Astyanax mexicanus: one gene and its partners. The protein of the gene in region 4 interacts with the protein of the main gene of each other region in a pairwise test. Links are inferred from orthologs where the notes say so. Each region holds a gene or a part of one and is shown on either strand. Other genes may lie near its edges. The genes, in order: lmo2, lonrf1l, natd1 and adamtsl4.

Evidence for each region.
Region 1: the proteins of adamtsl4 (region 4) and lmo2 interact in binary tests that used the Homo sapiens proteins (3 or more experiments, as listed by UniProt). The two-hybrid records come from large-scale screens. The link is inferred for Astyanax mexicanus from reciprocal best matches to the Homo sapiens genes ADAMTSL4 and LMO2.
Region 2: the proteins of adamtsl4 (region 4) and lonrf1l interact in binary tests that used the Homo sapiens proteins (3 or more experiments, as listed by UniProt). The two-hybrid records come from large-scale screens. The link is inferred for Astyanax mexicanus from reciprocal best matches to the Homo sapiens genes ADAMTSL4 and LONRF1.
Region 3: the proteins of adamtsl4 (region 4) and natd1 interact in binary tests that used the Homo sapiens proteins (3 or more experiments, as listed by UniProt). The two-hybrid records come from large-scale screens. The link is inferred for Astyanax mexicanus from reciprocal best matches to the Homo sapiens genes ADAMTSL4 and NATD1.

Annotation. Positions count from the first base shown.
Region 1 is NW_026040047.1:1,173,617-1,181,497, forward strand, and holds the start of lmo2 (rhombotin-2), read right to left. Parts: upstream 3,005-7,881; 5' UTR 2,490-3,004; coding exon 2,449-2,489; intron 1,608-2,448; coding exon 1,392-1,607; intron 1-1,391. UniProt on the Homo sapiens protein: Acts with TAL1/SCL to regulate red blood cell development. Also acts with LDB1 to maintain erythroid precursors in an immature state.
Region 2 is NC_064419.1:8,754,251-8,761,728, reverse strand, and holds the start of lonrf1l (LON peptidase N-terminal domain and ring finger 1, like), read right to left. Parts: upstream 3,008-7,478; 5' UTR 2,916-3,007; coding exon 2,282-2,915; intron 9-2,281; coding exon 1-8. Other genes in the region: very low-density lipoprotein receptor, read left to right, coding at 7,266-7,332.
Region 3 is NC_064426.1:27,674,815-27,681,681, forward strand, and holds the start of natd1 (protein NATD1), read right to left. Parts: upstream 3,006-6,867; 5' UTR 2,849-3,005; coding exon 2,752-2,848; intron 458-2,751; coding exon 339-457; intron 1-338.
Region 4 is NC_064413.1:29,579,237-29,587,175, reverse strand, and holds the start of adamtsl4 (thrombospondin type-1 domain-containing protein 4), read right to left. Parts: upstream 3,017-7,939; 5' UTR 2,642-3,016; coding exon 2,619-2,641; intron 1-2,618. UniProt on the Homo sapiens protein: Positive regulation of apoptosis. May facilitate FBN1 microfibril biogenesis.

The DNA of each region.
Region 1 (7,881 bases), on a different chromosome or scaffold from region 4:
AAAGAAAAGGCAGTAGTGAGACCGGTCTGTAGTTATCAACCTGGGCGGGGTTGAGAGAAGGCTTTTTAAGCAGTGGTGTGACCTGTGCTTGTTTAAAAGCAGTCGGGAACACACCAAATGTTAAAGAGGCATTGATCGTGTGAGTAATAGCCGGAATGATTGCAGGTGCAATGGTTTGCAGAAGGTCTGAAGGAATCGGGTCAAGTGGACACGTAGTAGGACGGCTACGCGTTAGGAGAGCCAGTGTCTCGTTCTCAGTGAGAGGAGCGAACGAGGAGAAAGCGACGCCTTCGGTAGAGGGATACCGGGCAGCAGAGCATGATGTAGGACTGCTACATGTCGCATCAGTAAACTGTCTGCTGATAGCTGCCACTTTCCCAGTAAAGAATGAGGCAAGAGCTTCAGCCGTAAGGCAGGTAGCCTGAGGAGGAGGTGGAGGGTTGAGTAGTGTTTTGAATGTAGCAAATAGTTTCCGGGAGTCTGTGAGGGAGCTGATTTTTTTGTGATAAAATTCAGCTTTAGCAGCAGTGAGGCTGGCTGACAAAGAAGCCAGAAAAGAAGCCAGAAAAAGAAGCCATTGTACCCATCAATGAAGGATTGGCAACAGTGTAAACTGTGCAGCAACAGAATCAGAGCTTCAGTCTCTGACTTTATTTTATCTACAGGCTGTTGTGTAATAGAGTGGTGGACAGTGAGAGATTAAACACAGTGTTTAAAAACTCCAGCAGCACTGCTGCATCTGATCCACTCATACACCACCACCATTCTAATCAGTGCTAATCACTGCAGTGCTGAACACACATAAAGGTATAAACATGCTCAACATATAAAATAATAATGTAAATGTACGTCAGGCAACATGGCCCATGTTTTCCTCTGAATTAAATTACTTATACAATAATACAGGAAAGGCAGTGCTATAACATGTAATATTAGCACTGCTGTGCTGCGGCCTTAGGCACAAGGCCATAGGCCACGTAATGTAGATCAGCAGTGCCAATACAGCACATTATAGCACAAACCTCGAGTGTATTATTGCGATTATAACACAGTTCTATTATTGCTGTTTAATGAAAGATTTTGAGTTAAAAGGATGAGAAAATACAATCTGTTTGGTTTTAAACACTAAAATTATTTAAAATAGTTTCATTGCTGCTCTGTTTGTAGCTGCGCTGTTTGGTTCGTAAGCGCTGCATTGTTGCTAGGTTACCTATATGTGGAGGAGTAATACATTGAGAGCTTCGGTTACAGTGCATTACCAGCAGATAACAGCACTCATAGAACTCCTCTCAGCCAATTACAATGCAGGGTCAGGAATAACTGTGGTATAATTAAATATAAGACTCTCTCTTAAAGATCAGAGTATGTTTCAGACCTGAAGGGACTCTTACCTGAGATAGTCTCTCCTGCACAGCTTCCTGCCCAGTTTATAGTAAAGCCTCCGGCCAACTTCCCCCAGCCGACAGCCGCAGAGATCACAGCTCAGACAGTCCTCGTGCCAGTACTGCTCAATGGCCTTGAGGAAGAAGCGATCTCCGATACTTTGGTGACATCCACCACAGGACAGCAGTGATGGAGGTACCTGGAGGACCTCATCCACAGGTTCTCTGCAAAATTCATTAGAAAACTAAATTTTACCTTACTGAACAGTGTGTGGTTAAACTTCACACATTCCCTCCCTTTAACCATGATATGAGGCCTGTGTATAAAAAAATGTAGACAACACTCAGTCTTAGCAAATAACAAATATACTAAGTGAGGGCAAAAGAAAAGTGTGAGTCTACAAACATTTCCTGAAAGGCTAAATAAACAAAAACTTATTAAACTCATTAAAGTGTCTGAGAATTATGGAAGTGCATATGCTACAGCTGCTGCCTGGTCTCATATTTTTGACCAGAGTTGGCAGAAAATGGGCTGAAAACATGAAAAAACTGAGTCTAATCACTAAACTAAAAATGGAGAACTGTAATATAGCTTTTGCTGGTAGCAATTTTTGTGTTTTCCTTTATCAATATGGTTCAATATGGTTGACCAGCTTAGTTCTTAACAAGCATGTCACAGGTCTCCAGAGTAAGTGCTTGAGCTGTCTTTTACACAGCTATATATAACGCTTCACTGTCACATCAAAGAAGGTGGTCAGTGAAACGTTTATAAAACACTTATGTTGATATATTTATTATAATAAACTGAGAAACATTACAGCTACAGTAGAAAACACAAAGATATACCCACAACCCCACTCACAGTCTACACTCCTGCATTATTTATCATTATATATTTATTATAATAAACTGAGAAATATTACAGCTACAGTAAATAAACACAGAGAGATACACACACACACTCACAGTCTATACACCTGCATTATTTATCATTATATATATATTTATTACAATAAACTGAGAAATATTACAGCTACAGTAAATAAACAGACAGAGAGATACTCACTCATTAGCTTCCAGTGTTTTCCTCTCGATTGTAGAGGCCATTTTAGCGCTGGGTGAGAGGAACCTGAGAGCCGCACATCTGCTCCTCTAACCCCGCAGCGCTCAGTCCCCGGACCCGGTACCGTAGCCTCCTTCTCCCGCAGAGCTCAGTCTCCGGTAGCGCGACCCTGCAGCCGAGGCTATAGGATGCTCTAATCCGCACACCTGCCCCTCGCCGTTACTCGCGGTTACCAAGGGTTACGCTGCTTTTTGCCGTTACCAAGGGTTACCTGCCGTTACTACGGAATACTCGCCGTTACTCTGGGTCCGGTGCTCCGCATGTTGAGGGTCTGGTTCTCGGCGCTGTGTGAAGCTCAGACTGCGCAGTTTCTCTGGGCGGAGAGGAACAGCAGCTCCAGCAGCTCCACCCCTCAGTCTCCACACGGCTCCTCCTCCCGCCGCCTCGCCTCGGCTCGGCCCGGTTCTGCTGCTGCGGTTCTGACTGAGTGACTCCGGGTTTCACAGCAGCGGGTTTTATACAGTGTGTCCAGCCCCCGACCCTCAGCCTGCAGCACACTTCCTGCTCACGAGCCGCTCCTGCAACCCCCCCCCTCTCCTCCTCCTGCACAATCAGAGGAAACAGCGCTCACGACCTCATTACCCCCCCATCATCCCCAACACCCAACCAAACCACACCTATATAACACACACACCGTTACACACTGTTACACACACACAGCAACACAGCAGCAAAACAGAGAGAAGTTTTATAATAAACCAAATATTTCCATTTGGCTCAACATCGTATTTTAATAGTAATAAGAGTAACTGTGTAATAAAGAGCCTAAACTAAAGTTTCATTTACTCAACTGAGGTGGCAGAACTACACAAATTATACGCTTAAATAAAAGTACAAATACTACAGCACCACCTTCTCATTCAGTGTCTGTATGTCTTTATATAATTTATTTTCTACATTGTAGATTCATATTAAAAACATGAAAGTAGTTAAAGGAGAACTGACTTTTGTTGTAGTAAAACATGATAAAAAGTACTTTCCTTTGATGAATAGCACACCTCCGTTCCAACACCCTTGGGTGACACAGGGCATAATTTGCCCTGATAAATCACTTTTTACACTGTTATCCTGCTCAAAGTAGCTCCACACTTCCTTGCTAGAGTCTGGAGAGCCCTGACATTTAAAATGAGGCATTAATAACCTAAAAAGTGCCCAAGAAGCTTTTTAAAAACATTGTTTACATCCCACAACGCTAGCTTCAGCTCCCAGGGTCGCCATCACTGAAACTGAAAATATGATAACAGCGATTTATCAAATAATGCCCCAATAAAAAATCCTCCACAATCCCCTGATCTAAAGCTGATGAACTGAGATGGTGATTTGAGGTGATTTAATTGGAATGAACTAGAGCTTCACAGTGTGAAGGAAAAGCACTGTTGTTCAGCACCTCCAGGAACTCCTTCCTTCAAGATGCTGAGAAAACTATTCCAGGTGACTCTCCCCAAGAGTCAAAAATCTCACCAAGAGTCTGCAGATCTGTCCTCAAAGATGTGCTATACTTAGAAGAATCTAAAGTATTAAACATATTCTGAACTTTTTTTTGTTTACTAAATAATTCAGCATGTGGTTCTGTATAGCTTTAATGTCTTCAATATTAAATTACATTTTTATTTAGTTTTTATTTCCATATATTTACATCTGGATCTGATACAGGGTTCAAAAGATAAAACCTTCTGTCTGAACCCACCAATTTTTCCAATGAGCAAAAGTATTGGAACAGATATGGATGAAGTGAATAAGACTAATATTTAGTTGTAAATTCTTCTCTTGCAGTAACTGCATCACGTCTGTGAGCCACTGACATCACTAACCTTCTGCATTCTTCCTCTGTGATGCTTTTCCAGACTGCAGTGGGTTTTGGGCCATTATCTTGCTACCAATCTGTTTGGTTGAATATTTCTTTAACTTTCTGAGTTCATTAAATATCAATTTAGATAAGTGAGCCCATCCCAGAAAAAGCCATATCTCCACTGTGTTTCACAGATGAGCTGGTGTGTTTGAGATCATGATCAGATCCTCAAAACTTTAGCCTTTTCAATCACACTGGTAAACATTTATATTTGTCTCATCAGTCCATAATCAGTCCAAAGGCTTATCTCTGTACCTTATGGAAGATCAACAAATTCTAATGGTTTTGAAAATATGCCATTTTGTCCTTTTTGAGGTTCTGTATGGAATTATATGAAAATGTACTTTTTCATCAGCTTTTTTCTCCTCACAGGGCTCCTTGTTATGTTTATTGAGTATGATCATGTCAGTGTTTTCCTCCATTTTACAGTAGAAAAGGAGGCTCAGTATTTAGAGCATGAGGTTAATGATCACAGGGTTGTGGGATTAGTGGATTTGCCTAATCTGCCACTGGTTGGTCTTTAAGCAAGGCACATAAATCTCTTTCTGCTGCCCATACAGCAAGGAGAAGTCTGCCCACCATCCCTGGATCTCCTCATGCCAGGCCAGATTTGTTTGTCTTTACCCCAAACATCTGGTTTAATCAGTCCTTGATAATGTTAAATCATGTGTGCTAATGATCGAACTGAAAAAAAAATCTACAGTAGGGTCCATACTAATTAAATTTATGAATAAAACATTATACAAATCATAGAATTGTCCCTGCTCTCTCGTAAAAACATATTTTTATGTTTTATGGATGTGTTGAAGATTGCTAGTAACTGCATGTACCTGTGGTTCTATGATCCTTAATATCAAAATGTTATTTGTGGCATTTGTCGTCTACCAGCAAGTCATCTGGCATCATAGAACCACAGTTACATGTGTAATTAGCGTTGTTTCATGGCCTCTGTAAGATAGTAGATGAAGAATGCTATCATTATCATGAAGGCAGACTCACTAGAGTAGCAGCTGACAGATGTCAGCCAAAGGCATCAATCAGAGGCCAGCCCAAGAAGCTGAGATACCCCTAGTATATCACTGCACAAGTGCTCATACTGAGAACAGGCTGGAAGTTCAGCTATCAGATTAATTCAGAAAGATTGCAAGGCTGGTTAACAAGGATAAAAGTTCAGATTAGGCCAGTGTTACTAGGTCTCAGGTGTGCATAGGAAGCGGGTGTGTTAAATTTTGTAGTACTGCTCTCACACTCTCTTATACTGATCACTGAAAGTTCCAACATGGCACCTCATGGCAAAGAACTCTCTAAAGATCTTTAAAGACAAATTGTTGTGCTACATGAAGATGGCCAAGGCTACATGAAGATTGCGAACACCCTGAAACTGAGCAGCAGCACAGTGACCAAGTTAATCCAGCGTTTTGAAAGAGCAGTGTCCACTCAGAACAGACCTCACATTGGTCGCCTAAAGAACCTGAGTGCAGGTGCTCAGCGTCACGTCCAAATTCTGTTTGAAAGATAGGTGCAGGTGTGCTGTCAGCATTGCTTCAGAGATTGAAGAGGGGGGGTGGGTCAGTCTGTCAGTGCTCAGAACATACGCCAAACACTACATCAAATTGGTCTCCATGGCTGTCAAGTCTGTAAACAAGAAAGCGGGCAGTGTAACTTAAATATCTGCAGAAATGCGAGGTGCGTACTCACTTTTGTGATACACTGTATGTAAAGTTCTGAGGATGGAGCTGGAACATTATTGTAAGGAAGCTACAGATCAGGTCTCAATCGATAACACTGTGCCGCAGAGTAAAATAGCTGCAATGTACTCTTTAAGAGTGGATGGGACTCAATCTCATTTTTCATCTAGTAGGTGCTGTAGGTGATTCTGAGCTCCTTTTAGCCTTATCCTGCAAAACGATGAGAGAAGACAACAGGTATCTGTCAGGAAAATATGTTAGAGCTCATTGTTGTCTAACGAAACGAACGATTGTCTAAACGAAAACTGTCTAAACAAGATTTTTCATATAGATGAAACCAAGATTAAGCAGATTATAGATGGTGGCCGTGTAATGGCATGGAAATATGGCTGCCAGTGGAACTAGGACACCAGTGTTTATTGTTACTGCTGATAGAAATAGCAGAACACCCAATTTGTTTTGTCGAGATACAGCTCTAAATCAGAGAGAGTTGGGACAGCTGTGCTGTGTGTATATTCCTGGAATTGTATGTACACTGTATGTCTAATTGTGTCCCTGTGTTGATTCATTTTCTCTTTGAGATGCTGAACATTTATTCTGCCCCTAAAACCACAACATTATATTAGAATATTTTTTAAATGTACCAAATGGTCTTTAAGACAATATTACTAGTCTTACAACACAAAAGAGACATCCTATCACCATCTCACTTCTGTGTATTCTCAAACCGTCTCCTAACACCTATCTTTGTCTGATGCCATTAGGGCCAACTCATCTTATCTGCTAGCAAAGCCTTGGGGCTCACTGTAGGAGGGAGGCAACTGTCGGCTGGTGGACTGGGCCATAAGATAAAACTACCATCTCAGGACCGCAGACTTACCGGGGACTGACAGTTACACTCATGGAATCCCTCCAGCAAGCAGTCCACATGTTCTGATACTTTTCTCAAATGCAGTCCATACGATAGCTTCATTGGCTCAATTTAACTCAGTCAAGTTATCATTTTGCTTTGACTCAGTTAAGTTGTAAATACATACAATTTTAAGTATGTTCAGCTTAACTGAGTCAAAGCTAGATGATAACTTGAATCCGAGTTTTGTTCACACAACAATAGTTTAATTAACTGAGCAGTTTTTTTCAGGTATTGTTGGTTTAAAGAATGTAGATTATAGGCTTAACATATTTAGCACATTTGTAAAATACTGCCAATGCATAACACTGGGGAAGCATAAGAGTGAACTCTGCAAACCTAAGCCAACATACTGTGAGCTCCAGGAACACAGAATAAAGGTAGCTTGCTTTTACAGCCTACAACACTGGTAGTCTTCACACATATATTACATTAATGCAGCCCAGGATAAAGTAGCTTTGGGCAACAGACAACACAAAGATGCTAAGTAAATTAGAGGCCACATTCACTATGCAAATATATGGTGCCAGAAGCCTATAGGAAAGCTGTTTGAACCAACAATGTGGAAAGAGCATATTTATTAGTTATTAGGTTGAAGTTTTGAAATCATTTTATTGATGCCTGGTTAGTTTACTAAACTTGATAATATTGCTTCCTCTGACTACAACACAATTACTTTTTAGAATGTGCATTTATTGTGGGCAGTCTGGGACTGAAAACAGGATTAAATAAGTGAATTAACTTGGCAACCATTCCTATGTGAGGAGAGGACTCAATTTCACCATCACATCTGAGATGTCTCCACTGACATATTTTGCTTTGTGCACAAGCATCACACCACAGCCCTCAGCACTATTGTTTATAGAAACATATCAGCTACCTGAACCGCTACCAGCTAACTGTTGCTAAAATGAGCAGAGACCTGCACC
Region 2 (7,478 bases), on a different chromosome or scaffold from region 4:
GCCAGGGTCTGGAAAAGAGACAGAAGAGAGAGAATTTATAATAATATTAACAATAATGACAACTTAATATACTAATAATATTACTTAATGTAATGTAAATACATGGACAAACAGATAGATACATAGACTGTTCCTTGTATTACCACACACTACCTCACTCTCTTACTGTACCTCACTCTGCCTCCAGCCTCATGATGCTACAAGAGCCCACTCTGCAGTGTAAAGAGCTACCTCTGTTGTTGCACGCAGGCAATGCAGTTTACCTTGCTGTTATTTAACATTTTTTGATGTGTTTGGTCTGTGTGTGTGTGCTGCAGTCTAAGGGTGTCCTTGTCAGCCCTCATGTTCAGAAACAGAGTTGAGGAATTTAAGCGTCAGCCTTCAGATTAAAAAAAAAAACATACATTTATTCAAAAGCGCCCAAAACAGAGGGCAGACTAGGACACCTTGATAATGCAGCTTGCTCACCCACCCACACACACTCACAGAAGCTGGCAGTGGCAGTGACACACCACTCACTCCATGAGTCATGATTCTGATCATTTACAGCAACATTATACCATTGCTGAAAACATGCAGAGAGGAATACATATAATTAATTGCATAATAAAATAATTATGTGATTACATGACTCTAATGCAAGGAAACCTTGGCCAGTAGGTTTGACCTGAAGTGCCCCGTGGCCTGTTTCTCGGTGTACACGCAGTGTGGTGACCCTGAAGATGACCGATAACTGACCTATAAAGTGTTACAATGTGCTTTCTCTCTACATGTGGTCAGTGAGTGGAAGCTAGGGTGCGCCAAATATTTGGCAACCAAAGGTTTTGATCCAAAAATGTCCAAAAAAAGCACTTTTTGAGTTCAAAATATGTGAAAAAAAAACAATTAATACTAAACTCTGACTAATTTACGGTACTAGTCAAAAGTTTGGACACACCTTCTATGCTTCTTCAATGCTTTTCCTATATCTTTCATTTATTTTTTTATACTGTATATTATAATTAAAGACATAAATATAATTAAGGAAACATATGGAATTACGCAGTAAATGGTAAAAAAAAAAAGTGTTTGTCCACAATCCCCTAACCTAAACCTGATCAACTGGGATGGATGAGCTGGAGCTTCACAGCGTGAAGGAAAAGCAGCAGCTATTGTTCAGCACCTCCAGGAACTCCTTCAAGACACTGAGAAAACTATTTCAGGTGACTCTCCCTCATGAAGACACTGAGATTAAAATACCAAATGTGTGCAGATCTGTCCTCAAAACTAAATATGCTGTTTAAAAAAAAAAAAGTATAAATCATCTTCTGGTTTGTTTAACACTTTTAGTTCACAGTATAGTTCTGCATATATTCCTGTATGGCTTTACTTAATTCAATATTAAATGTACAGTGTAAAAATAAATCATAAAAAGAAAGAAAACTAATTGAATGTGAAAAGGTGTATCCAAACGTTTGACTGGTACTGTATATTGTGTCATATTGTTGTATTGTGCTGCATCTGCTGGGATGTTAAAAATGTTGACAGTTCCATAAATACTTTACACTGTAGCTAGAAATTGTTCTAGGTGATTCTTTTAAAAAATCCAGACAAATGTATGTAAAGGTGAAAGAATTGGCAACATTAATGAAACATTTCAGTCATTTTGTTCAGTTTCAGCCTGAGAAAATTAATTTCAGTTTATCCTTAGTGGAAGCACAAGGTGTTTCTAATAAAGTGGTTAGTGAGTTTAAGCACAAGGTTGTGAGCAGGTGTTTCTAATAAAGTTGTCAAAATGCTAGTGAGTGTATATATTCTATTTATGTAATGGCATTTGGATATACATTATAATTATATAAAGCATACCTACATACAAGTAAGCATGTAAACTATTATGAGTAAAATATTAGTATCAGCATTATTCATACGTCGTATTATTGTTATTACTACCATTAATAAAGGCCTCACTTTCTCTTCACCTCATGTCACATTACAAAACTCAACACTTAACCTTACACAACCTTCATCTCTCCACGCATGCGCGCGTAAAAACGCGTTTCGTAAGGCTGGTGGGCGGAGTCACGTGAATCCAGGAACGACGTGGGCGGGGCCGGTTCTCTGAAATGTTGGTCAGTAGAACTCGGGCGATGTGAATAAATTATGTAATCGTTTAGCCTGGAAAAGCCCAAACTGTGTGGGGGTTCTCCACTTTTGTCAGTAATAAAGGACAACAGTGCTGTTTTATATCATAATTTGTTTAGGGCGAAGGATAAAGACGAAATAAGTTAAAAACACAGCTCACCGCTTTTTAAAAGCTCACTGGCCAGCGCTGCAGCCTCCTCCCAGTGTTTACTCCTCATCAGCCCCTCAGCCTCTCCAACCCGCCGGGCTTTCCTCACCTCCTCCGGGAAACACTTCTCCAGCAGTCCGCTCAGAACCACGTTGGGTTTGTGTTCTGAAGGGCTCCGGTCCATGTTCTCGCTACACACCTGGCACCGGGGCACCAGTATCCGCTGTAAACAGCCTCTGCAGTAGGAATGTCCACATGCCGCGGTCACAGGTTCCCACATGAACCTGCCACACCCGGGACAGTCAAACATACAGCCCGAGTCCCCCACCTGTCCCCGGTTCCCCTGGGTCAGCAGAGTCGCTACAGTCTCCCCGGCGTTCCCCTGCTTGTAGTTCCGCAGGATACAGTCCACCAGCGCGCCCAGCTGCTCCGGCCGGATGGGGTCGTGCCTCAGTGCCGCGCAGAACATGTCTATCGCCTCTTTCAGGCGGTTCTGGGACGCCAGTGAGTCCGCTTTCCGCAGTATCACGCTTTGCGGGTCCACGCTGGAGTCCTCGCCCCACTCCGCCTCTCCCTGCGCCGCTATGTAGAAGCCTGCTGCCCGGGCCTCCGTCGCCTGCGCCCCGCTGCGTTTCTCCACCGACATGCTGGAGCGGTCAGCCCGCGTATTAGTGTTATAACTCTAGTATTATCACCGTAATAACTTCAGCACAGAGATATAATAACTGTTAATAGTATCACAGCCATCCTTGCCCAGCGCGAGAACAAGCGCTGAAAGCGAGTTACATAAAAAACACGGTCACGTGAGGGCAGATTCCTGCGCTCCTATTGGTCAGAACTCGACGATTACAAAACGTGCGCTCGGTGAGTTTTGTAACTCTGGAAATGAGGCGTCACACAATAGACAGACGGCACGGTGTACCGGGACACTGAAGTACAACCAGACCCTGACAAATCCCACAACATCACAGAGTTATACAGATAACAGAGTTACCGACCTGTCACAAAGTGTAACTTTTCACTTAACTCAGCCAAAAGGTTAAATAAAGCACAATAATCTAATAGGCGAGCTATTACAAATCATCAACTTGAAAACATGTCACATATTCAATAATGTTGTAATGCGTCGTTGTATAATTAGCACACATTACATTTGACATTTTATTAGTGTTATACTACAGTTACATTATGTAGTAAGTAACATAATAGAGGAAAATGATGACTGATGCACCTAACATCTGAGGTTACTCATAGGGCCCATTCCCTTCCCCTATACTCTAATCTCATCTCTTAAGTAGCTTTTTGATCCAATCAGCAACACTTAACCACACATGAAGATCTGACACCTAACACCTGAATTGCTGTGGCTGTGGCTGTTTCAGCAATATTTGAGACAACCACAAAATACCTTGGTTAGCCTTCCCATCACAAATACTCATTCATTAATTATATTACATTATATTACATTGGGCAGACGCTTTCGTCCAAAGCGATGTACAATAATGATGTACATTAAGTAGTAAAAGACATAGAAGATCAAGTTAAAAAAAAAACATTTAAGACTGGGCCTAAAAGAGGCCAAAGGGAAATAATGGGATATAAGAGAGTAAGTGCTCTTTGAAGAGCTCTGTCTTCAGGAGTTTCTGAAAGATAGAGAGTGATGTTCCTGATCTGGTAGTGGAAGGTAGTTTGTTTACATTAATAGTGTTTATTACATTTACGTATGCAAGTGCACAGTTTTGTTGCATTTCTTGATGTTCTTACAATAATTGTGTTATAATTAAAATGAGTTTCTTTGATTTTACCAAATTGTAAACCTCTGGAATATTATCAAGAGAAAGAATAACCACAAGCCATCAAACCAAGCTAAACTGCTTGAATTTTTGCACCAGGAGTGGCATAAAGTCATCCAAAAGCAGTGTGTAAGACTGGTGAAGGAGAACATGCCAAGATGCATGAAAACTGTGATTAAAAACCAGGGTTATTTCACCAAATATTGAGTTCTGAACTCTTAAAACTTTATGAATATGAACTTGTTCACTTTGCATTATTTGAGGTCTGAAAGCTCTGCATCTTTTTTGTTATTTCAGCCATTTCTTATTTTCTGCAAATAATGCTCCAAATGACAACATTTTATTTGGAGAGAAATGTGAGAAATGTTGTCAGTAGTTTATAGAATAAAACAACAATGTTTATTTACTCAAACACACCTATAAATAGCAAAATCAGAGAAACTGATGCAGAAACTGAAGTGGTCTGTAAATTGCTTCCAGAGCTGTATATAAAAATTTTTATAAGTGTCAACAAACTGTCAGAGGAATACATATAATTCAACATGAAATTTAGATAATAAAAGTAAACAATTTTATTCAGAAATTTAAATGAATACAGTTAAACTAAAAAAAAAAACATAAATTAACATAATGTTCATTGAAACCTTTTTTCTTAACTTTAAGTTTATAAAATTAAACCTTCTTATTTTTTTTTATTTTAAGTTAAAAGAAAATGAATATTTTTTCTTCTTTTATTCCTGTCAAAACATTAGCACAACAAGCGTTAGCTTAGCAGCACCAGGCTAAGCGTCCCATAGCAACACAGACACGTGAGTGTTAGTCGGCGAAAACGCAAAAAAAAAAAAAAAACAGCTATGTGAGGAACATGTCGGCGATTTTGGCTGATATTTATTTTATTTCATCAGCGGGAACTTTAATCCGTAATAAACGGTGATTTTTAAGGCAGTGAAACAAACGAAAAAAGGTCCGGGTTTGTTTTAGGGCAGTGTGTCTGCGCATGCGCATTCAACTCCCAGCTCCTGAGTTATGAGAGCACTGGAATGAGAGTCATGTAACATTTAGGTCAAATTGCAAAACACAGATCAGTCCAGATTATTTGTTTGTAATAAATATAGACTCTGCGGCTTCTTCTCTCTGGATTTCTTACTCTTTGCTTTTATTCAGGGTTTATAATGTTAGTGTATAATGTGAGGGTGCAGAAAGTCCCAGATTGACCCCTAATGACCTCCCTCACCAACAGTCCCAGTTATGTCATTTTATTGTAACCGGCTCTTACAAAACAGTCATATAACATACTTGCCTTTATTTCTTTTTACATAACATAACTGACTCATGCACTCTCCCTTTTAACATGTATTTATTATTTACTGTTTTTACTGCTGTTTTTTTACACTGTTTGAAACTGAAGGGGAATTAAATACTACTCTAAAGTTAAGTAACATGTTTGGACAGAGCAGCATTGCTTAGAAACGTCGAGGTGCCTTGTAAAGGAACCACCAAGCTTTCAAGCCTTTACAAGCTTTAACAATGTTAACAGTGTGGGTCTGTCTATTACACAAACAGCATAAGTGGAATGACAGTTTATTTTAGTTCATTCAACTTTTTGTTTAATAAGTCTCTATTCCAGAAAGAGAGAGAGAGATGTGTAAGTGAATAACAAACATTTCAGAAACTGTTACTTGTCTGACATTAATTAAGTATAGTTCAGAAATACATGAATTTGATTTTCCAGGTCTGTTCAAAATATAATTATAATGTTAATTGCTAAAAAATAACAATACCATATGCTACCTGATTTTGGTTTGGCATTTTAGTTTTGACATGTACAAAGAGTGTTAATAAATTTTTAATTCAGGTTTTAATTGTGACCTCAAGATGTCTGATATTTTATGCATCTGAAATAAAAATGTGTGGAATTTGACAATTATTTCATTCATTGATTTGAATTGCACAATTTGAAATTATTTTACAGCAAAAAGTGATACGCAACTAATGTAGATGTAGAGTTTTAACCACTTGACAGCACCAATAATATTTTATACTTTAAAATAACAAACAATGAGATGAAATTAGACTTGAAATTAGAGAATGATTTAGGCCTAACTTAATTTAAATCAGGTGTGAATGCCATATAGCCATAACATAGAGATATTTCTAATCAGAGCTGTGGGTCTGTACGTGTAGTTTAATCTGATCAGAACAGGTTTTGTTATATCCTATATGACAGCTTCTTTACTGTAAACATGAGTTGAATATTATTGAAATTAGGTAATTATTATGAAAGCAGTTCGTTACTCATTGATTATATTATGAAACGTGTTGTTCTGAAAATATAAACAGCAGGGGGAGCCACAGCAGTGGTTTCTGGTATTACTGTACATTTCTCATTCTGTGGTTGGTGTTAAGACAAATTCAAATAGTAATAATAATAATAATCGTTGTTTTCATAATAATAATAATAATAATAATAATAATAATAATAATAATAAATTATTATTATTATTATTATTATTATTATTATTATTATTATTATTATTATTATTATTATTATTATTATTATTATTATTATATTTCAGGAATAGTAACCAATGTTGGTAAATGTGTTCTGAAGTATAGGAATGCAGGAGGACAAGAGGAGTAGGAAGGGAGGAGGAGGAGAGGAAGAGTAGGAAGGGAGGAGGTGAAGAGGAATAGTAAGGGGAGAAAGAGAAGAAGAGGCGCAGAAAGTGAGGAAAAGGAGGAGGAGAGGAGTATGAAGAGAGGAGGAAGAAGAAAAGGAAGGGAGAAGGAAGAAGAGTATGAAGGGATGAAAAGAATATGAGTAGAAAGGACGGAGGAGGAGTAAGGGAGGAAAAAGAGGAGATGAGGAGGCAGAGGAGAGGAGCAGTATGAAGGGAGGAGGATGAAGGAGAGGAAGAGAAGAAAGAGAAGAGAAGGAGTAGAAAAGGAGGGGGAGAGTAGGAGTAGGAAGGGAGGATGAAAAGGAGAGGAGAAGTATGAAGAGAGAAGGAGGAGGAGGAAGGAGGTGAGGAGGAAAGGCAAAAATGTATGGATGCAACCGCCTGCTTTGGTTTCCTTCCCTAGAAAATTATCCCCTGTGTAGGGCACTAGCACTCAGTTTGAGACGCGCCCAGGTGAGCCCTCTCGTTGCGTCATATTCTCGCGATAGCTGCAGCAGCAGAGGTCGCTGTATTGAATGAAGCATGGAGCTGAAGTTCTGTCTGTTAGTGTGTTCTGGGATACTGCTGTCATACACTTCTGCAGCAGCAGGTAAACAAACGCACACACACACAGAAACACACACACGCACACACACCGCGAGTGTGTATTCAGCGCCGGGTTAGGGGTGGACCGGGGCTGAGTGGGAGGTGGGCTGTCATTCAGCTGCACATGGCACTGTCCCATTACGGATGGGT
Region 3 (6,867 bases), on a different chromosome or scaffold from region 4:
TTAATTGCCTTTATTAAAACCAAACAGAGCAGGAATTTGGAGGATTTAAATAAATGCTATGAAATATCTGCATTATATTAATTTAACTGAAATGACAACAGAAATGTAGCCCCCATATAAATGTTAAATGTCTATTAGCTTTAAATGATATTTAAAGAAAACACAGTACATGGCATTCCCACAGATCACAAATCAAATTTCTGTTATCCTGACATTGGATTCTTACTGGCCAACACTGGCCTATTGGTCACACTCTTGGCAGTCCGGAGACAGATAAATTAAGGTCATAACTCATACATGAATTCCTCTTCACTCTATCTACAGTTATAAAACTCCACCTTGGCCAAATGCTTGGCAATGCCCCGTCCTCTGTAGGCATCTGGCACCTCAGTGTGTTGCAGGTCCACAGTCTTCTTCCCCACATACTCATACAGCAACACGGCTCTATCATAAGAACCTACCAAACAAAGGATGAGTAAAAAATAATTAGTATTGTAAACAAACCAGATTTTTTTTACAAGATATATATGTGTAGGCCTCAGTTATCTGTGATTTGTTCTGGCTTTATTGACTGTTTAATATTAAAAATGATACAAATTATAATTATTGAGTTTTTCAGTTGTGTTCATTTATATTTTTTATTTGCTTTGATGATTTGCTATAAAAGCACAGTATAAACAGTTTACAACCTTCCTTAACTGAGTTTTCCCCCTGGGTAATTATGAAAATGCTAAATAATAAACAGAATTATGACGCTAATGTAGGTCAAAATAGGTTAATTAGGTCAATGATATGCCGCCCCTGATGTATCAAGGTAGAACAAAAAGGTAAATACATTAAATGTTCTCCCGGATTAATGGTTTCCTCATTTTAACAAACCATCCCCTGATGTTAAAAAAAACTGCATCCTCAGTTCAACAATTTGTTCACTCAATGTAACAGTAACTTAGTTTAGTAAGTTGTTTCCTCATTTAAGTAAATAATTACAAGTGTGCCCTCAATTTACATAATTGTTACCTCAGTTTAGATGTTTGTTATCTACATTTAATACATTCTTATCTTAGTCTAACAATTGTTTGCCTTAATTTAATGAACTGTTCCCTCTAGGTGTGCAAGAAAATATTGATTCTACATTTTGTTTTGCAATACAGTGTAGGTCTTTAATTATTAGTTTACTTGTAAATATTGGTTTCGGAAGGTGGTTCATTTTGTGTTGTGTTTAAACCCTGTCCACTAAAAGGCACTGTTGTACCCTGTCCTTAGATCCCACTGTTCTGTTTGCTTAAAATGTCAACTTGTCCTAAATTGAGATTTTCCAAGTATTTTTCTAATATCACAATAAATTAAACATTTTGGTTTAAACATGTAAAGGGCTACTAAACCCCCTAATTTTAGCTGACTCCACCCTCAGCTCAAATTTGAAAAATGCTAAAAAATGAGAGGGGTAGATTGGGAGGGGCACTGGGTGATGTATGGGTTTAGAGGTGGGGCAGGAGGCAGAGCTGATTGGCTGAGCTGCAGCAGCAGCAGCAGCGTGCCTCTGACAGTGGCAGGACCCAGATGGTTGGATGTCAGCAGTGGGGTGGTATTATCGATTGATCTGTATATTGTGATGTGTCTGCGTACCAAAGTACAGGCGGAAATTACCTTAATAAAAGCGTTTTTTTAAGGTTAGGAAATGTTTATAAACATTTTAAGCAGGACTGGTATGTTTTAGAGTTTAGTGGCTTTTTAAGCAATATATTATCTTGCATCACATAGGCCTATCACAAGAATGACACTATCTTTACTTTAAAAGTGGATGAATGCTTTATTATGCTATTCAATTACCACTATGTCAGTGGCCTGTGCCCTTAATTTGGGGCATAAACTGTTCTTTCAGTTTAATAAATGGTTATTCCAATGTAGTTAAATGTAATGAATGCTTCACTTCATCGACGAACCCATTTTACACTAGCTAACTAAGCCTCCATAAATTGCTTTTCTTCTTTGATAGAAAAAGCTAAGCTTGGGTTTGAAGGTTTTCAGCTACGGGTTCAGTGAAAACCACACTGACAGAGGAAAAAAACAACTGTGTGTCTGTTTTGTTTTGCACAGATAATCTCTTGTTATTGATGTAACAGGAAGTCAAACGAGGGCTGGCTAACAAAATACAGCTGAAAAGCAACTAAATCTGTGTTTACATTCGAAAATATCTCCAAACAAACGAAAGACCTTTCTAAAATGAGTTTTCCTCACCTGAATCTCGAGGTTTAAGCTGTTAAACGGGCGTGAATGTCGAATTTTTGCTGTGTAGCGAGCTTAAGGGTAATGAGAGCTGGCTAGTTGCTAAGGTTGAGGAAAAACATATACATTAGCTAAGCTAAGCTAGCGGGCGAACTTGTAACCTAGGTTAACGCTTGGTTTTAATGTTTTGGCTTTACAGGAAAAAATACAGGACGAACGAGATTCAACTAACTAGTTACTTAAGTCTATGTTTTAATGTTGCTAAGCTTGTTAACTAGGTTCACTAGTTAGGTTAAATGACTGTTAACAGAGAAGAGGGAAAGTGTTGAGCTAGCAGCAGTGAAGAGCAGAGCTGTGAGCACTGCTGTGGACTAGTTCCAGAGGACTAGCCAGCCGGCTAACTAACGCTAGCCCGCCAGCCAGCCAGTGTCACTCAGCCGAGCCGAGGCTGTAATGAAAACAAAGGTACAGCCCTGCAGCGCTGCTCTCTCCCTGTCCCCGCCAGCCCAACTCCAGCCTCTTTACCGTTGAGACGGATGCTAAACTGCCGCCGCTTCTTGTCGTGCTCGACCCGAATGGGGCTGCTGATCTCCAGGATGTTGATCTGGGCGGCCTGGGCCATGGTGCTGGAGCAGCGGTGCGCTAAAAGTCGGTGAGAGCGCTGCGTCTGATACAGCAGCAGCAGCAGCAGCAGCAGCCCCGAGACGCAGGCTGAGAGCCGGGCTGGCCCAGGCGGACTGAGGGCGTTCAGACAGCCCAGCAAAAAAACACTCCATCCAAAAAAATCAGCTGTGAGCCCACGTGTTCGCCTCAGCCAATCAGAACACGCAGGCAATGTTTTGATGCGCGGCCTCGTGATGCACTTGCCGCACCTGACCGCTAGATGGAGACCGTATTACTGTAACCACGCAGGGCCAAAAATATCCAGATAACAGTTAGCAGTGGATGATGAATTTTAATAAAATAAAAAGCCTTTTCTAAAAAAAAAACATTTTCCCTCAAAAAAACAAACAAAAAAAATACACGGATCAGCCATGGTCAGTGTAACGTTTATTATTTTTTTTTCTGACTGTTTTTTCTGACTGACTGGCTAAATGCAAAAATATAAAATTGGATGTAAAAATTCATTGGTTTTTATGTAATGCAGTGTACAATAAATACTTTTTATCAATTTATCCAATTATATATTTTTCATCTCAAAAATAAAAAGGAATCTTTTCTTCATTTTCTGATTTTTCCATTTTTGCATATTGCAAGGATTATACCATCAGATATGTGTTACAAGATACAAAAATGGACCCATCTGAAAAGCGAGAGAAGATTCACTTTTTCATTTTTCTTGAAATTCTGTTTGCCAAAGGCTGAAATGAAAAACTATATAATTGAAAAACTGGATGGAAACCCATTTCTTCTTCACTTTACTGAGTGAAAAAAAAACAATGATTAAGTTTTATACCCAATTTTCTATTTTCGAATTTAGCTTGATACAGTCAGAAAATTAAACTGCCAAAGTATTTTAATAGTAGGTCACTTGCCCAAAAGTATCTGGATAGCAGTGGATGAATTTTAATAAAATGAAAACTAAATATATAATAGGTCATATAATAAAAAAGCCTCTACTTACTCAAGACAAGAAAAAAACATTTTCCTTAATGAAAATAAACAAATAAGTTTAAAACAACTGAAACTAAGTGAAAAACATGGATTCATGGCCAATAGTAGTCAGAAAGAATGAATTGTAAAAAAATAATAATAAAAAAAATTATATTTTTATTTTTCTAGAAAAAAAAACTAAATTCCACTCATTAAAATTCACAGATAAGCCATAACATTAAAATGTCTAACGTAATGTAAAAAACATTTTGAATCAATTAGTGAACCTTTGTTTTTTTTTTTATTTGTTTTTTTTATTATTTCAATGCAGCATTTTTAGTGCATTTATAAAGAATTTAAAGAAACTGAAAAAAATAGTTATAGTTATAAATAGTTTAATCAGGTAAAAAAAAGAGAAACTACATAATACATTTTTAAAAATAAAAAATAAATATAAATAAGTAACTCAAGTAATTATATTTGTTATATTTGTGATATATTTTTTGTTTTTAGTAAATGTCATTTACTCTAAACAAATACATAGCAGAACAAAAGCTCTTTTTATTGGACAATAAAAAAAATGTAAAGTGAAAAACACTGATTACTCACTTTAAAGTAATATATAAAATATAAAGGGAGTATTGGTGAATTCTAACAACAATAACAGACATAAGGCCCACCTTGGCCTACAGGACTTGCTGCTGAATATTGGTGCCTCAGTTCACACTTCAGAACACTGTGTGTTTGCTGGAACAAGGAGGACCTACCTACACCAAATTAGGCAGGTTTTTGAACATCAAAGCTCATTGGTGCATATACACTTTAAGCACAGTTGCAAATCCATGCACAGAAACTTCACGGGCCAGCATGGATTAAAGGTCTAGAGTGTTTCTCAATAAGTGCAATTGCAGTGCCAGCAATGATGCTCAATTGAAAATCCTTATTAGTTTAGGCTTAGGCTTAATAATTAGTTGCCAGGAAACCAGTTCCTATATTGGTTATAAGACAGAGTTGCTAATAATGCACACAGGAGTTTTATAAAAGAATTATAAACACACAAAGGAACAACATGAAAAAGGTAAACGAGTTCACAGTGAGCTGAAGTAGATTAGGATTTATGGTTTCGAGAGCTGCTTCTAGAACTCCCAGATTAAATATAGAACTATTTCAGAATTTCTGTTGGAAACCATTACTTCAGTTCAGTTTAGTGATGGGCTGTAACATTACTCTGACTGTAGGAGTGGTTTTTTTTTTTAAGTCAGGTTATTACAAGAAAATTCTGCTGGAGGACAATATACATTTCAGATAATAATATTTCAGATTGGTCTTAAAAACTACAGAAAAGTCTTTCTTTGTTAACCCTTTAAATCAATGTCATCACTGTAAGAAACCTCCTATTGTTTTTTTTTTCACTTTGCAATTATGTTTATCAGGAAATATTTATATTTTCTTAAAATGTATATTTTCTGGAACAACCAGAAAGTGATCTTTACAAAGGGTTTGATACAGTGTTCAGAATTGCTCCCTGTTACAGAAATAGTGAAAATTATGGTGTGTTTGTAGAGTTTGAAATCTCAACAGTACATTTTATTTCCTATAAAGTTTACAATTGAACACCCATAACACATTGTAAAAAATGTCCAATGTATACCATAATGTAATGTCATCAGAAAAGCACTATGCAAGATGTTTTGTTGTTTGGGTTTTCCCTAAACAGCAAATATTATTTTGTGGCGTGGAAGAGGAAGGAAGACCCGTGAGACTCATGCTGAATGCTCAACAGCTCCTTTTATTGAACCAGCTTGCCACTCACTCAGAATCTTTAACAAGACTAGGAGAGCTAAATCATTAAACCAAAGAGCTAAATAAATCCGTGTATCATTCGTTCATTTGATATTCAATTGAGAATCAAAATCGGAAAATTAAAAAAACAATTCGTTTTTTCGTTTTTGAATATAATACCAAAAAACGAATAACGGCTTGTATTTTGTATTTTTATTTGGTTATCCAAACAAAAATTGGAAATTTAAAAAACGGACCAGGAGCCGAATTTGATTTTGATTTTGAACTTGACCCATTTGTGTGCCCGGAAGTTACTGATTTGTTTATTCTTGGTGGGTTTCTGTTGCGCGGGAGTTCACTGCAGTGTTATCTACACAGTCTGTATTGCTGTAGGCTTTGGATGGAGTTGAGGATGGAGAGTTTTATCTTGTTCAGAGGAACTAAACGCGTTGCAGTGAAAGAAGACGATATGACAACAGAAAATACATGTCTTTTTCGCTTAAGGTCGTGTTGAACACAGAACCTTCTAACACTCATTGCAGAACATCGCTGGATCCCCATTTGCTGCAACGTGCACGAAATCTCTTCATGCGTCTTACCACCTTCAAAAAGATCTTTAATTAGGCCAGAATGTGGTTCCAGTCCGGCCATGCTGCCTACAGCAATACAGACTGTGTAGATAACACTGCAGTGAACTCCCGCGCAACAGAAACCCACCAAGAATAAACAAATCAGTAACTTCCGGGGCACACAAATGGGTCAAGTTCAAAATCAAAATCAAATTCGGCTCCTGGTCCGTTTTTTAAATTTCCAATTTTTGTTTGGATAACCAAATAAAAATACAAAATACAAGCCGTTATTCGTTTTTTGGTATTATATTCAAAAACGAAAAAACGAAAAAACGAATTGGTTTTTTAATTTTCCGATTTTGATTCTCAATTGAATATCAAATGAACGAATGATACACGGATTTAATTAGCCCAAAGGCCACCAACCCAGCTGTGTGTCTCCCAGATGGCAGATCCAGAGTGGTGCCCACCCTCTCTGCATAACCCCTCCCAAGGGAGATGCCCCACCCCTGTCATCCTCGCACACAGGAGAACAGAACATGCCTGCAGGCAGCCACACACACAACCCAGAGCCGCCACAATATAGTGAATAGTAAAGGAGTTAATGAGTGAACCATTCCAAACTCAGCGCAGGTCTGACCCTAACTCTGATGTTTTGACCAGCTCAGTGGACATTTCATGAGCTTGTTTGATTAAG
Region 4 (7,939 bases):
ATCAACATGCAAGCAACTGCCAGGAAGGAAATTCACATTATATACTGTAAATTAAATCTTAAATGCTGGGATACACGATAATGAGACCAAAAAATGGAAAGCATTCTTAAGGAAAAAAATGGAAGAAATGCACATACAGGAAATGTTAGACAACACTACATATCCAACTAAGTGCTCTCAAACAAATGTGAGGAAATGAAAGTTGAACCACACCACTTAGGCGCTGCCTAAATAACATCCTAAAAACTGAGAATCAGAACAAGAAGGGGGCAATACAAACAGACCAACACATTAAAGGACCTACAGAGTTAACTGGCTGACAACAATCAACAATATAAAGAAGTGTGGATATCTGTCTGTATGTCTGTAATGAAAGGCATTACTCAAGAATACACCAAAGAAATGCTAGAGTGGATTTGTTTTATATGGGATTTTGTGGTCAGATGAGACCTTAATTTACCTTATTTTAAAACGCCATGTGAACCAGAGTGCCCACTGCCCAACAACCACTATCCCAAAAGTGTTGTGGTGAACTGGGAATCTTGTTAGGACAGATGGATGTATGTATGATGTAAAAACAGCATGCAGATCTTTATGCCATGCTGAAAAAAAAAGAACCTGGCCATCTTAAGCTGGTTAAGCTGGTTGACCAGCCTATATCTTGACCAGCATAGGTATGTTTGAGTTTTATGATTTATCAGACCCAAAAGCATGAACCACCTGACCAAGATAGACATCCAGCATGACCAGCAAAACCAAATCTGTCGACCAGCATGAACAGCATGGCAAAGCATGACTAAAAACAAATCCATCATGTACTCAGCTAGTCAAGAGGTGGTCAACCAGCTTGTTTACCAGTATATACACTGCCTGGCCTAAAAAAGTGATCTGGGGTTGCTGCAGTTGGTCAGGTATAGGTTCAGCAACAGTATGTGATGAAAGAATGAAGTCAGCTGACTACTTGAATATATCAATTGATTTTTTTTTCTTCCCTGATGGCACAAGCATATTCCAGAATTCATGGGGCTGGAGTTGTGAAAGAGTGGTTTAGGGAAAACAGTGGTTCAGGGAGCATCGAGATCATTTCATTTTCCGACCAGGCAGTGTAGTATGGTTCAGTCTAGATAAGAAGCTTTTCAACCAGCTTAACCACCATATACCAGATTAGATCATCTGAAACCAGCTACCAGCATCCCATACACACAAAAACAAGGCACATAACAATAGAAGGACCAACCAACCTACTGTACTGTACATCCCAGCACACACACCCACTTAAAACAATATAGAAACCACTATACACCACAACATACTCATAAGCCCTACCCGGACGGGATTCGTTTCTCAGGGGGACGTCTGTGAAAAATATTTAACATTTCTACTCCGGACTGAAATTGAAAAGACAGGAGGATCAATTAGTTTTTTGGCTTTCTCGGTCACAAGACATCGTGTTCAGTAGCTCCTCCATTTCCACTTGCTGTTGTGTTTACGTGGATCTATGTGCGTCCAAACTGTAATCACGTTGCGTGGCAGTAGACAAATAACTATTTTATTAAACGCGTGATTTAATTAAAATCACAGAGGACCCCCCATAAAAGAGAAAATCCCCCCAATACCCCCTGAGAAACTAATCCCGTCCAGATAGGGCTTTAGAAATTCAACAATAAGCATGCCTTCATTCAGCACCTTATCATAAATACATAAAGACAACAACACACACTACAACAGACCCCCACCACCGCTGCTTCTGAGGTCCACCTGCTCTGCACAGGTTGGAGTTTTCCAGCTGTGCGGACACAAACCTCTAGACCACAGCTCTGGAGCTGGAGGTAAACACTGGCCCAGACCCATCTCAGCAGATGTGTGTCCTCCTGAGTGTAAACTCAGCTCAGTGCCCAGACCCTACCCCTGACCACTGTTCCTCCATCTCCTCCAACCCGTCCTGCAGAACTTCTGCTGCTTATTTGTCCATCAAACCATGAGCTAATCACTTCAGACACTGAGGGGTTTTCGTGTTATTCTAAGTCATGCATCTGCGGATTCGGTTCGACCCCCCAAATCGGCGCGGTGCAGTCTGCGTGCAGCCGCAGCGGAACGTAATGGGACGCTGCACAAAAACCATAATTGCTGCGCGCCACCGCGGAAACCCCAACGAAAACAGCGCCGGACAGCGGCACAAAAAGCTCCCGGGGAGAGCGAGGGGAGGGGAAGGGCAAGGGGGCACTGAGACCTTCTTCACCACGCAGCCAGCCAGCCCTAAAAACCCACCAACCCACCCCTCCATCGCCTTATCCATCCGTGCCTGCCCATGCGGTCGCTACAGTGGAGCTATAGCTTTGGAAAACGGTGAAAAGGCGCGTGAAGGAGGCACTTGCTGAAATTAACGCACAAACGAGACTTTTTATTGGTCTAAAAAAACACAATGTGTGAGAAACTGTGTATACAGGGGAAAAACGAAGCACGTGGGCCAAAAAAAGCTGGTGTACTGAAAAATGACACCAAAACACACCGAAAAACACGAGACTGAAGTTTGTTAATATTGCTGGAGGCATTAACCTCCAACGTAACCAGACTAAACAGCGCTAATAATAACGTTAAACCCACACACAGGGGCTTACCTGCACACAGACCCAGGCCACATTCTCTTTTTCTTTTTTTCACTCTTTCTTCCTCTTTATCACTTCTCTCTCTTTTCCTCCCTCTGAATTTCTCCCTCTCTTCTCCTTACAGAGCTGCTCGCGCTGTATTGAACCCCAATCAGGTTTCTTACTGCTTCCAAATCCGGATTCAAGCACGAAGTGAAACTGTGTCCAAAACTCTGTCCAACTTTTTTTTCTTTTTTCCTCTCTCTCTCTCTCTCTCTCTCTCTCTCTCTCTCTCTCTCTTTCTCTCTCTCTCTCACACACACACACACACACACATACACACTCACTCTCTCCCTCTGCACACTGACTCTCTCTCTCTTTCTCTCGTACACTCGGACTCTCTCTCTCTCTCTCTCTTTCCTCTGTCACTTTGCCTCTCCCTCTGGCTGAGTCACACACATTCGCACACACACAACACACACACACGCCCCCCACCCCCTACTCAGGGGTAAGAGAGGGGTGGGCCACTTTTTTTCATTTCTGTCGTTTAACCAACTTTTCCTTTTTGTCCTTGTGGAGAAGTGGTGTGACGTTGGACAGCAGGGGGGCCTAAAGGGGTTGGAGAGTGAAGGGGCTGGAGAGTGTGTGGATTACACAACTGCACACACGTGCACACACACTCTTAAGTGTGTATTCCTATCTAATGTGTCTCTGTGGGGTGTTTTCACGTGCATGCTCTTGTATTATTTCTGTTCTATTTGTTGTTACTTTAGCTTCTGTGTGGAAGGTTGCCCATGAAAAGCAGCCAGGTGTTCCCCACAACATCCAAATGTTCATATTTTCATTTTTTCAGGTTGGCACATAGACATCCTATTTTCATATAAAAACTTTGGCAGTGTAATAGGAGGTGCTAGAGAGCACAGTGAACCCCATATACACCTGGTCTCTTTATGAATTTTGGGTATCAGGATTATATCTAAATGAGGCCATGCCATATAAAAATACAAACGTAAACACACCCAAAACAGATTAAAACAGACACAAATCTGATCACTTAAACCACTTCAGGAGGAGGTCCAAGTCCCAGTTCTTACCTATCATTAACATATCCTGGGTGATCCGATTACAGACGATTGCTAAAACCTATAGCTGTTCACACCTGCCATTTTAAATGCTTCTCCTGTGACCAGCAGATATCAGATTTCCCACATCATTTCTACTGAAAAAGTTTACAATAAGACTCTTAATTCTTTGCATAAGAAATAGACGAGGCACTTAGTTCACTTGCACACCGGTCACAAGTATTGCTTTAATCCAAGTCATGCTAACTATACACTAAAAAACGTTGAAAAGACTAGAATAAATTTGAATTGATTAAAGTCAAGACAAGACAAGACACCACAGAATGCGCTTGCCTTGCTGCTTGCTGTAGCTCTCCTGTTGGCTGTTAAAATTGTTTACGTCACTATTCGTTGAGCCAAGTCAAGAACACGGTTAAACACAGTTGATTTTATCTGAACGCCAGTATGAGAAAAAGACTGACTTAAACCTTCAATCCTAACCACCTTACACTGAATGTTCAAGATGACACAACCGCAAATCTACTCTAGAAAGACTCTCATGATTTTATTCAGACACTGGATATTTGTCTATGACAGTGAACTCCCTTGAAAATTTGTTTGGTGTAATGTATGCATTACCTAACTAGCTAACTTGTGTAGACGGTGTGGCCTCTGGTATTATATATGTTCTGCCATTGGCAATGGCATGGTTTACGCGGCTAGTGCTTTGCTGTCAGGAACGCATTGAAATTCTTTAAGAATACTAGAATAATGTGTATAATATGTGTCTCTGACTACCTCTAAATATGGTTTGAGTGATCAGATTACAGTGCATGCTCGAAACATCTCACCTCTACTTTGTGCTGTCCACTTATGATCGGATTACCCAGGACATTGTTAATGCAAGGTGTGAATGGAGTTTATGACGCATTTGAGCCATGTTATAACAGTGTAAACGCATCCATCTCTAAAAGCCACATTCAACAACCGAAACACGTCCTAGTACAAACGAAACCCCTCCCCATGTAGTATATAATTTGGCATGTGATTCGTGTCTGTGAGAAAGATCATCATTGAGGACAACAGCATATAAAATCATGCACAATGTCACGTAAAATTTGTCAATTTTAAGCAACAATTAAAATATTGTCCATCTATCTGGACATGAATTTGACTCGTACGTAAATGTATGTGGTTAAAATTTTATCATAATACAACACAGATATTAGTTACATGAAGTGACCAAGTGAAAACAGGGTCAGTGACTTTAAACATAGCACTGTAGCAGAATTCTAAGATTGGCCACAAGTCAGATCATGAAATTCTACCATGCTAGAGCTGCCCTGTTCAACTATGAGTGCTAATATTGTGAAACAGAAATGTGGAGAAAAAACAACAGCTCAGACATGAAGTGGTAGACAATGCAAACTCTCATGTACAGTGTAAATATCTAATATATCTATCTTGGTCTGTATCATTCCAAACCAGTTGCATCACTCAATATCAATTCCAACCTGTCACTGAAGGCAACTTCATTTTCGTCAGAGCCTTATGAAAGAGCCTTTCCCATGACTGAGCTGCATGCTGGATGCCTAAGATCATCACCATGTGCAAAGCAAGTGGTAAAAGGCTGCAGTGACATACAATGAACCAGAAACTGAGCAGTGTTATCCAGACTGATAAATTGCTCTTCAGTGTCGAACGCCTCTGTTGGCTTGTTGCAGTAAGATGTGTAGCAATGCTCATCCCCACATGTTTAAATAACAAAAAAGAACATTTATTTCTAATTCCATCTCCAGTGTCTAATTACAACAGTTGGTTTTCCCTGTGCTAATGAAGGCAAAATTTTCTCATTCCTCACAAATCAGTTTTTACTGATTTTGAGGAACAGTTATTACACTGTATCATGATTGATACAGTCTTCTGCATTATTAGATGGAGTAGCTGAGTTGTGGTTGAGCTGTCAGGCAACTAGTATTCATAATGTTATTGATTACATGGTGTTGTGATATGTGGTCACTTTGGAAAATGTTTTTTTTTTGTAGGTGGAAAATGTTTTTTGATGAGTCTTATGTTAGTATAAAATTATGATAAAAACATGATCTTATTACTTGATAACCAGTCAGCTAACATTAATGTAGTTAGACATGCTGAACTCTGTAGTATCTGTTCTCTGCCAAGAATCTAATCACATTTATTTTCTGGTGTCCAAATACCATAAAAAATTGCAATGTATTTTCTTTTTTTTTTGTAAATTATACCTGGTGTGTGCTGACTTTGTTGCAGCAGCTCAGGTAGTAGCCTGTCTCAGTAGCAACCAGATATTAACTGTACTGTATTTTAAAGGAACTGCACTGTTGGAACTGTTGGAACATTAAAATCCACTTTGCTTCTGGTTCCTTAACTCAATGAAGGCAGTCTGAGACAAGCTCGGTCTGGGAGAAGGGTGTGGGTCTAAAAAATAAGTAGGCATAACTGGCCCTAACTTTGGTCTCTTCATCACAGACACGTTTGTCTTTATTGCTATAAAACGGAATATACTGGAATCTCAGTGTCCATGTTTTGTACAGTCTTTGGTTCCACCAGTAAAGTCTGATGAAGGGTGGATGATGATTTAGGGCTGATTCTCAGTGATTGGTTTCTTAGTTACAATGTGAAACTTAGATACAAATACTTTTCTCATTATTATTTGCTTCCAGCTCTGTGGCAACAGTATAAGGAATAGTTTCCTGTTCCACTGTGACTCTGTCCCTGTGCACAGAATGAGGTCTATAACGACATGGTTTGACGAGTGTGGTGTGGAGAAACTCCAGTGACCGGCACACAGCCCTGACCTCAACCTCTGCGAATACCTCTGGGATGAAGTAGTTAGTGTTACAGCTTTGTTAGGGGCTCAGATTTGTTTTTATTCCACTTAATTCCTTCACCAGGCAGGCATGCATGCACACACACACACATTCACACACTCACACTTACACACACAGCTCTCCACACTATACTGAACTGGCAGATTTAACCATGCCATAGGATGCATTTATTGTTTTAAGCTGCTGTATGATGTATAAATAGCAAGTATATGATGCTGGCTTGGACAAAAACTGCTTTGATATGAACAACTTAAAACCTTGTTATTTTGTGTTTACAGCACTGGTGATGGGTCACAGAAGCAGGAGATATAAATACCTAGGCGCTGCATTGTCTGCTTTGGCCTGCTGCTGCAATATGTCAACATGTCCACGGTACTGGTCCATGCAAGACAGGCCTGTAAAAAAACTAAGGAAGCTGCATTTATTTCTGATTAAAAACATAAAAACTGCACATTTATCAACCGGTTTTAATGAGTTGCTATATTATATAAGGGTTTTTAATCTACAGCCCTAGACCACTTCAGTATCTGAATCAGTTTATCTGATTTTGCTATGTACAGGTATATGTTTAAGTAAAATGAACATTGGTGTTTTATTCTATAAACTTTGGACAACATTTCTCCCAAATTCCAAATAAAAATATTGTCATTTAGAGCATTTATTTGCCGAAAATAAGAAATGATTTTTAAATCACATTTTTTATGCATCTTGTCATGTTCTCCTCCACCAGTCTTACACACTGCTTATGGATAACTTTATGCCATTCCCGGTGCAACAATTCAAACAGTTCAGCTTGGATTGATGGTTTGTGATCATCCAGAGGTTTTCAACCATCTTCTTCTTGATTATATTCCAGAGGTTTTTAATTTGGTAAAATAAAAGAAACTTATATTGTGGAAATTGTTTTTTTCTATGAACTTCCCCATAATTTTTGTATTTTTTGTGCTCTAGGTCAGAACAAAGTTAATTCACTTCGAATTATTTAAATTTATTGAATCTTTAGGTTTGAATAAATGACCAAACTGACAAAAATATAATAAAATCCTCAAAGACAATCTCCTGCTTTTTTATTGGAGTGAAACTATAAAGACAACTACAAACAGATTTAGATGTTACAGCACGTTTACATATCTACATTATGGTAAACCAAATTGTAAAAATATAGTATAGTATAAACAGATTGGATTATAGAATGTAATGTAAAGTCAAATTAAATAGTAGCACAACATACAGCAAAGTAGCTAAGCATATTACCATAAATACAATATAGAAGACTACAATGAGATGTGCTCTACTAATTTATAGTATAAATAAAGTAATAACAGGCTAACAATATAAATAGCATATGTAGGCTAAATACTAGTAGCCTAGTAAATAGTGATACTGAATAGTATATTAATAGTAAAAGTAATACAATAATACAAAA